Macaca mulatta: one gene and its partner. The protein of the gene in region 1 purifies or fractionates together with the protein of each later gene. This does not show direct contact. Links are inferred from orthologs where the notes say so. Each region holds a gene or a part of one and is shown on either strand. Other genes may lie near its edges.

What was found.
Region 2: the proteins of POLR2E (region 1) and INTS6 purify together in Homo sapiens (affinity purification with mass spectrometry; 3 studies listed by BioGRID and IntAct, with this or other methods). This does not show direct contact. The link is inferred for Macaca mulatta from reciprocal best matches to the Homo sapiens genes POLR2E and INTS6.

The regions. Positions count from the first base shown.
Region 1 is NC_133424.1:1,752,964-1,756,707, forward strand, and holds the start of POLR2E (DNA-directed RNA polymerases I, II, and III subunit RPABC1), read right to left. Parts: upstream 2,710-3,744; 5' UTR 2,665-2,709; coding exon 2,608-2,664; intron 1,407-2,607; coding exon 1,232-1,406; intron 1-1,231. UniProt on the Homo sapiens protein: DNA-dependent RNA polymerase catalyzes the transcription of DNA into RNA using the four ribonucleoside triphosphates as substrates.
Region 2 is NC_133422.1:30,689,484-30,693,227, forward strand, and holds the start of INTS6 (integrator complex subunit 6), read right to left. Parts: upstream 2,655-3,744; 5' UTR 2,143-2,654; coding exon 2,032-2,142; exon of another isoform or gene 1,838-2,031; intron 1,665-1,837; coding exon 1,587-1,664; intron 783-1,586; coding exon 633-782; intron 1-632. UniProt on the Homo sapiens protein: Component of the integrator complex, a multiprotein complex that terminates RNA polymerase II (Pol II) transcription in the promoter-proximal region of genes.

The DNA of each region.
Region 1 (3,744 bases):
GATTGTGCCATTGCACTCTAACCTGGGCGACAGAGCGAGATTCCGTCTCAAAAAACCAAATAAACACTACTAAAAAAAGTAAAAGTAGCCAGGTGAGATGGTGTATGCCTGTAAACCTAGCTTTTTGTGGGAGGCTGAGGTGGGAGGATTGCTTCAACCCAGGAGGTGGAGGTTGCAGTGAGCCGAGATTGCGCCACTGCACTCCAGCCTGGGTGACAGAGAGAGAGACTCAGCCTCAAAAAAAAAAGAAGACCGGGCGCAGTGGCTCACGCCTGTAATCCCAGCACTTTGGGAGGCCGAGGCAGGCAGATCACCTGAAGTCAGGAGTTTGAAAGCAGCCTGGCCAACATGGTGAAACCCCATCTCGACCAAAAATACAAAAAAAAAAAAAAATAGCCAGGTATGGTGGTGGGTGCCTGCAGTCTCAGCTACTCAGGAAGCTGAGGCAGGAGAATTTTGAACTCAGGAGGTGGAGGCTGCAGCGAGCCGAAATGGCACCACTGCACCACCTGGGTGACAGAATGAGACTTTCAAAAAAAAAAAAGCAGTAGCATCACCCGGTTGGCAGACACGCTCCGTCCACCCCACTGATTAATTCTGGGCACGCGGCTGTGTCCCTAGGCGCTGGTAGTCCCCCAACCACTGAGGGCGCTAGAGCCATCCTGGGGGGGGGCAGACAGGTGGGGAGACTTCCACGGTCCAGGTGCTGAAACCGAGGGTCCCAGGGGTCCCGGGAAAAGCGGCCTGAGCACAACCTCGAGGGATGAGTAGCGGACGCTGACAAGGCAGAGGCGGCATGGGGTGCAGAGGAATGGGCTGGGGCAGACAGGGGCCACAGCTCACAAGGAGGCTGCGCTGACCCACACGGGGCCTCCTGGGCCAGGCCAAGAAGCTGGAAGTGCACCCAACGGCCAGGATGGGGGAGCCAAGGAACACAGGTAGGGCAAAGGTCATGAGGGGCTGCGGGTGAGTAGGGAGGTCCATGGGACTCTCCTGGTTGGCAGGAAGAAAGGGGACCGATGAGAGGGAAACCAGAAAGAGGCTGCGCATGAGAGGGGTCAGAGGTCCACGGCATCGCCCACAGCAAGGAAGAGGAGGGGAAGTTTTCCTCCCAGATTGGGCAGAGGATCAAACGCTGGGCACGAGGCGGGAGGGGGTGGGTGCTAGCGGCCGGCTCCTCAGCAGGTGCTCGGGCGGCTCCACCAGAACTCCCCCGGGACCCGCTGCTCACCTGGAAAGAACACAAACATCTGGTCGGTGGGGTCATCGTTGTGGGCCACCAGCACCGTGAGGTCAGTGCGCCGCGGCCGCCCCTCACTCGGCTTGTCTCCAAATTGGGCTTTGAACTCCTCCAGTGTCTGGTCAAGCTCGTCCTGGGTCACTAGGTAGCCACGGTCGTGGCACAGCTGCAGAGAGAAAGAACCAGCTGACCCCAGGGCAGAGACAGGAAGGCGGCCAGAGCTCGTGACCCAGAAGTCAGACCTGCGGCTGCTGCAGAGGACAGAGGTGAACAGCAAACGGAATGAACACTCGCTGTGTGCCCCATGACAGCCATCCTGGCCCCCACAGCCCCACACCACAGGATGGGACCAGCGTGATCCCGAGAGGCTCGCAGAGGTGTCCAGCCTTGACCAAGACCGTCCGTCTATCCAGCCTCACAGGAACCTGGCAGGGGGCAAAGCCCTCCAAACCACTTTGCAGAGCTACCCTAAAGACAGGGACAAAGACGGGGCGTGGGGGGTCACGTCCACGACCCCAGAGCTCAGGGAGGCCGAGGCAGGAGGGCTGCTTGAGGCCAGGAGTTCAAGGATGCAGTGAGCTATGACTGCACCACTGCGCTGCAGCCTGGGCGACAGAGTGAGAGCTTGTCTCTTAAAAAAAAAAAAAAAAAAAAAAAAAAAAAAAAGACAGGGACCGAAACAAATGTGACTTCAGGCTGACAATGTTTGCGGCCCGGAGGAAGGAGAATCAGGCTGCGGGGGGCTTCGCTAAAGACAAGGGCATAGGGGGTGGGGAAGCAAGACAAAACAAAAGCTCCCAAACGGCCCCAACGGCTGAGGGAGGACCCTGAACCGCAGGCCCTCAGACCTTTGCCCAGTTTCCAAACCGGAGTCGGCCCAGTGGCCTCCATCTGTCTCAGACCCCGAGGCACGGGTTCCGGGCTCCACGTCCCCATCGAAAGCCCCAGCTCGCCTGCTGCTTCCCAACCACCAACTCCGCCAGCCTCGGATGCTGAGACGCCCTGGGGTTCAGGACGCAAGGACAAATGGCGACGCTGAATCACAGAGAGGGGCAGGGTCTGGGGGCGCCCCCCGTCCCCATTCGCACCTTCCTCCTCTCGCCGCCATGTGCGCCGCACCAGCCCAAGCCGCCCGCCCACCGCTAAGCCCCGCACCCAGACGTCTCGAAACCCCCTCCCTTCCCCGCTGCCGGCTCAGGTCGGGCCCAGCGCCTGGGATCCCCGGCGGCCTCGGGGCCTCCCGTGTCGGCCGGGCCCTCCGTCGCTGCTGCTGCGACGGGAGTACGAGGAGACGCCGAGCTCGACCTCGCCTCGGGCCCCTGCACCTGCTGCTCGCGCCCCCGCCCCCAACACCACGCGCGGCTCACCTGCATGATGGTCTTGCGGATTTTCCAGAGCCGGTACGTCTCCTCCTCGTCGTCCATCGCCGCCACTCGCACCCGTTTTGCCTGCGAGAACCCGCGCGGACTGCGCCTGCGCCGACTCCCAATCAGGCCCCCTCCACGTAACCCCGCCCCGCGATGGGCTGTCGTCGGCGAACGCCTGAATGCAGCAACTTCCGGGATCGGCAGCGCCAAGGGCAGCCCGAGCCTTGCGAGAACGGCAGTTTGCTGCGCGAGACTCTCCCTCCGTAGTTCTCGTGTGTCTTTGGCTGCACGGCCTCTTGGGAGTTGTAGTTTCCGTTCAACTCCCACGTTGCGGCGACAGTTTAGAATCCCATGAGGCGGGGGCGAAGTGTGGGCGGGGAAACTGAGGCCTGGAATGGGTCAAGGGGCAGCTCGGCTCCTAGGGACGGTCGGGGAGCCTAGTGGGAACTCTTTAAATATTTGTGCATCAAACTGTACAGGGTTTCCTCTGTTGGCTCCAGGCCAGGTCAGGGTTAATGCCCTTGGGCCTCAGTTTCCCTACCTGTGCAATGGCAAAAAGTGTCCCTACTTTAGGCGGTTAACTGAGAGTCTTAGGTAGAGCTAGGCATATCTCTAGGTGCTTTTTAAGTCCCTTCACCTCTGTCCTCTCCCCTGAGTGCCAGCCTAGCCTGGGTATCTCCCCACCCCAGATCCGTCCTGTCTTTGCAAACCTCACCTCCCCAGATTCACGGAGGATCCCAGCCCAGCACTCGCTGTGTGAAGGCAATCAGTCACTGACTCAGTGATGCATTCATTAATTCAGCATTTACTCAGCAACCTACAGTGATGGTGAATAAAAACAGGCCAGGTATCCCTTGCATTCAGAGACAGGATTTAGTAAAATAACGTTACTGGGCGCAGTGGCTCATGCCTGTAATCCGAGCACTTTGGGAGGCTGAGGTGGGCAGATCACGAGATCAGGAGATCGAGACCATCCTGGCTAACACGGTGAAACCCCATCTCTACTAAAAATACAAAAAATTAGCTGGGCCAGGTGCCCGTAGTCTCAGCTACTCGGGAGGCTGACGCAGGAGAATGGCGTGAACCCGGGAGGCGGAGCTTGCAGTGAGCCGAGATCCGGCCACTGCACTCCAGCCT
Region 2 (3,744 bases), on another chromosome or scaffold:
AGGGTTCTTTCATATTTTCCAGCAGTCTTTTTTGCAAAGGGTTTGGAGTTTAAATTAAAACTCTAGGCCTGAAATTTAATTCAGAATTCTTCCTGCAATAGTTAACTGTGTATGCTTCAAAAGGAGAAAACTTAATGTTCTCAGCCAGTGACTGTATTCCAGTGAAAATCTTCTTACCTTTCAGAATAGTTATACAGCATGATCACATTAAACCCTGATGCAACAAACAGATTAATTTCCTCTAACATCTTTACTAATATAGAAATGAAGACCACTAACTAGTGTCTGTAAGTCACTACAATAGTTGCACACACAACTTGAGTGTGGTGAGATAGGACGCTTTCCCTTTTAGGTCTTTAGTGAACTTTCAAGGGATTAAAATCAATGTATGTCAAATTTTTAGCAAAAGATTCAGATTCTAATCCTGAATACAAATGTATTTTAAAAGGGGAAAAAATGAGGGACATAAAATATATATAGTAGGGTAAGAGTTTTGCCTTTGAACAATGTGCATATTCTATTTTAATCTGGAATGTTTTATACGTGCATTTCATGTTATGTAGTTTTTGGATTGGACTGTGTTTCCACAAAATGAAAAATCAACTATTTTGCCACCTTATTATTCAACCTACCTGCCCATAGTTGTCTATGCCAGTTACTAATCTATTTAAATTTAATAAATCAAAAGCTGTCCTTAGGGATTGGCCAAGAGTCGTAAGTCCTTCAGCCTGAAGGTTTTTCAGTTCATTCATAAACGTTGCATGGTTTTCTTTCCATCCAGCCTGAAAAGAAAAATGTAAGATTTTTTTTTTTTTCATTTTTTAAAGCCATGTACACACAGCGGTTATAATCTGACAGTCACCAAGTAGCAGCTTCACTTTTGGTTGGTTTGGCTTGGTTAACGTGTTAATACTGTACCACTGCTGAGGAAACTCTCCTCCAAAGGTGGCCCAGGAATAAACCTGCTTCCTCTCTAGGTTTTGGTAGTTAACAACCTTAATACTTTATAACTTCACTGACAAATTTACTACCTAATCTAATACCCAAAATGTGGATATGTGAACGTACTAGTGGAAGCAGACGGGAGCCAGACTTAGGAAGTTAACCTGCAGCTGTCCCACCGGCCCTCTTAGGACGAATTTGACAAGACCAATCCTGGCAGCCCCGTATTTGGCTCCCGTGCCGGCCGGACCGATTCCCCTTTAATGCAAACCGGGGCTGTGCGCGGCCGGGCCCGGCTGTCACTCCGGCTAACTTGAATAAATATCCCCCACAGTTCATTGCTGCCGCTCACGCCGCGGAGGGGAAATGTCGGCCATGTTGATCGCAGCGCCGCCGCCGCCGCCGCAGCCGCCGGGCCGGGCCGGGCCGGGAGGGGACGGCGGTGGCCCCGCGACTCCGCGCCGCGCTAGGACGCTGCCGAGCGGGGGAGGGGGTGGGAGCCCGCAGGGAAGAGACCTCAGCGGCTGGGAGCGCAGCGGGTGGGGGAGGGGAGCATAATGAAGGGTGAATGGGGGGGCGGGGAGGGCGAGCGAGGAAGGAACAGGGAAGGGAAGAGAGGAAAGGGGGAGGGCGAGGGCTGTTACCTTGATAGCATAGGGCGGCTCTTCGAAAGTGACCAGCATATACCTGTCTCCTCTGCTGGCAGGGTCCCGGGCACGGAGCTGCGGGACGGGAAGAGGAACAGGGCGGGCGAGAGGGAAGCACAGAGGCGAGGTTACGAGGCGGAGAAGGGGCGCCCAGCTGCCCCGCCGCCCCCACAGTACCGCACACGCAGCGGCCACCCCTCCACGCCGCCCCCAACACACAGATCGCTCCCCACACACCGCCCGGGGCCGGAATCCGGGCCCCGGCCGAGCCCGGCTCGCAGCGCCCGCCCGCCCGCCCGCCCGCGCGGTGGGGGAGGGGGTCCCCGAGCCCGGCAGCTCCCGCAGTCAGGTCCCCGACACCCCCGCCCTGGCTGCCCTCCCCCACCCTGCCTCCCGCGGGCCGCCGGGCCGGGGTCGCCGCCCGGACTCGGTCAGTCGGTACCTTCATGAAGGTCTCTACCGCGCCTTTGGCCGTGTCCAGGTAGGTGGTGCCCAGATGGCTGCGCTGGTTCATAGAGGCAGACGTGTCTATCAGGAACAGTAAGATGGGCATAGTGCTGGCCAGGGACACCGGGGCCCGAGGTGGTGGAGAAAGAGGAGATGGTAGAGGTGGAGGCGCCGGTGGCGGCGACCGCCGCTACGCGGGGCGGGGGTGCGCGGCCCCCGGGAGGAAAACACCGTCTGGGTCTTTCCTCCGGCTGCGGGGAGTTTCTCCCCCGATAGTTGAGAGGAAACTCCCCAGACCCAGTCCTCCCCGTCGTACCCCCGCCTCCGCCTCCTCCTGCCTGCCTGCCCGCTGGGGCGGGCGCCCAGCCGTCTGTCTGTCGGTCCGTCCCCCCCGCCTCGGGGGTCCCGTCCCCGCTCCCGGCCCCTGTGTGTGTCCCAGCGGGAGACGGGCCTGGCTCCCCACCCCACCCCCGGTACAGGGAGTGGGGACCTGGGAGCTGGCGAAGAGGGGAGTGGGCTGAGGGGAGATTGGCCCTGGGGCTGTTGGGAGAAGTTTCAGGGACTCCCTCCGCACCCCGGCAGTGTCACCACTTTCTCAGCCCCTCTCGCTACTGAAGCGCTTTTCTCTCTCACACTCCGATTTTAACTCGGGCAGGGGCTGCGGAGGCTCCGCCCCTGACACGTCCCCGAGCCACGTGATACATCGCCTCGCCGTTCTATTGGCTAGTCCCTGCCCTCTCATTAGCATATTTAAACAGCTCAGGGGCGGGGGAAGCTTGCAGGCCGGCTCCGGGGACAGTTATTGAGCACGCGCGGAGGCGGGGCGTCGGGTGCGCGCGAGCGGGCGGGCGGGCCGACCCGGAGGCGGGCTTCGGGAAGGGGCGGGGCCGAACCGCGGAAGATCCGCGAGGTGGGGGCGGGGGACGCGTCCGCGCGCGCGCCGGCCGCGGCGGTGAGCCTGCGCGTCAGGGCCGCCGGCCTCTGGCTGTTGGAGGTGATTGGGGTCGACAGAAGGAAAAAAGGGGCTGGCGTCAGCGCCCCCTCTGAGGTGGCTGTATTGTGGACGAGTAAGAAGGGCTGAGTAAAGTGGACAAACACCTGGTTAGGAGAAGAGGACAGGTCCGCAGCCGCCCTTCCGAGGAGGACTCGGGGCCTCGCGGGCGCTGGAGGAGGTTCCTGGGCCTCGTAGGGCCGCCCCGGCGCGGGCGGGCGCGGGGGAGGGGAAGTGAGAGGTTGTTTATGACCGGGGACTAATCTCCGCGAGTCACAGCGCTCCCTCTGGGGAGTGCGGTTGAGGGGCTGTCCTCGCCCAGAGCCTCGCTCGTCCTCCGGTGAGCGACGAGAGGTGGAAGTTGGACGCGCAGCGGGCCATGAACTCTGTCGTTGGAGGACCCGCCAAAAAGGAAGCAAACCTTCTTTTTCTTTATCCAGCCCCAAATAGGGCCTAGGGGACCATTCACATATCGATAAATGGTTTGTTGCCCGTTTTATTCTCTGGGAAATACAACTGATCCTACCAGAGAAATACCTGTCTCATGCCGTGTTTACCTAGAGCCATAGAATACCTGTTTCAGAGCTAAAGGGGACCTGAGCCCATCATAATCCATTACCTCGTGTGAAAGCGGAAACACTGACTTCAGCTTGTCCAGATGGCGCAGAGCATGGGTTTCCCGTAACCCCGCCTGTGTCTTTCCTTCAGTCTCGTCCC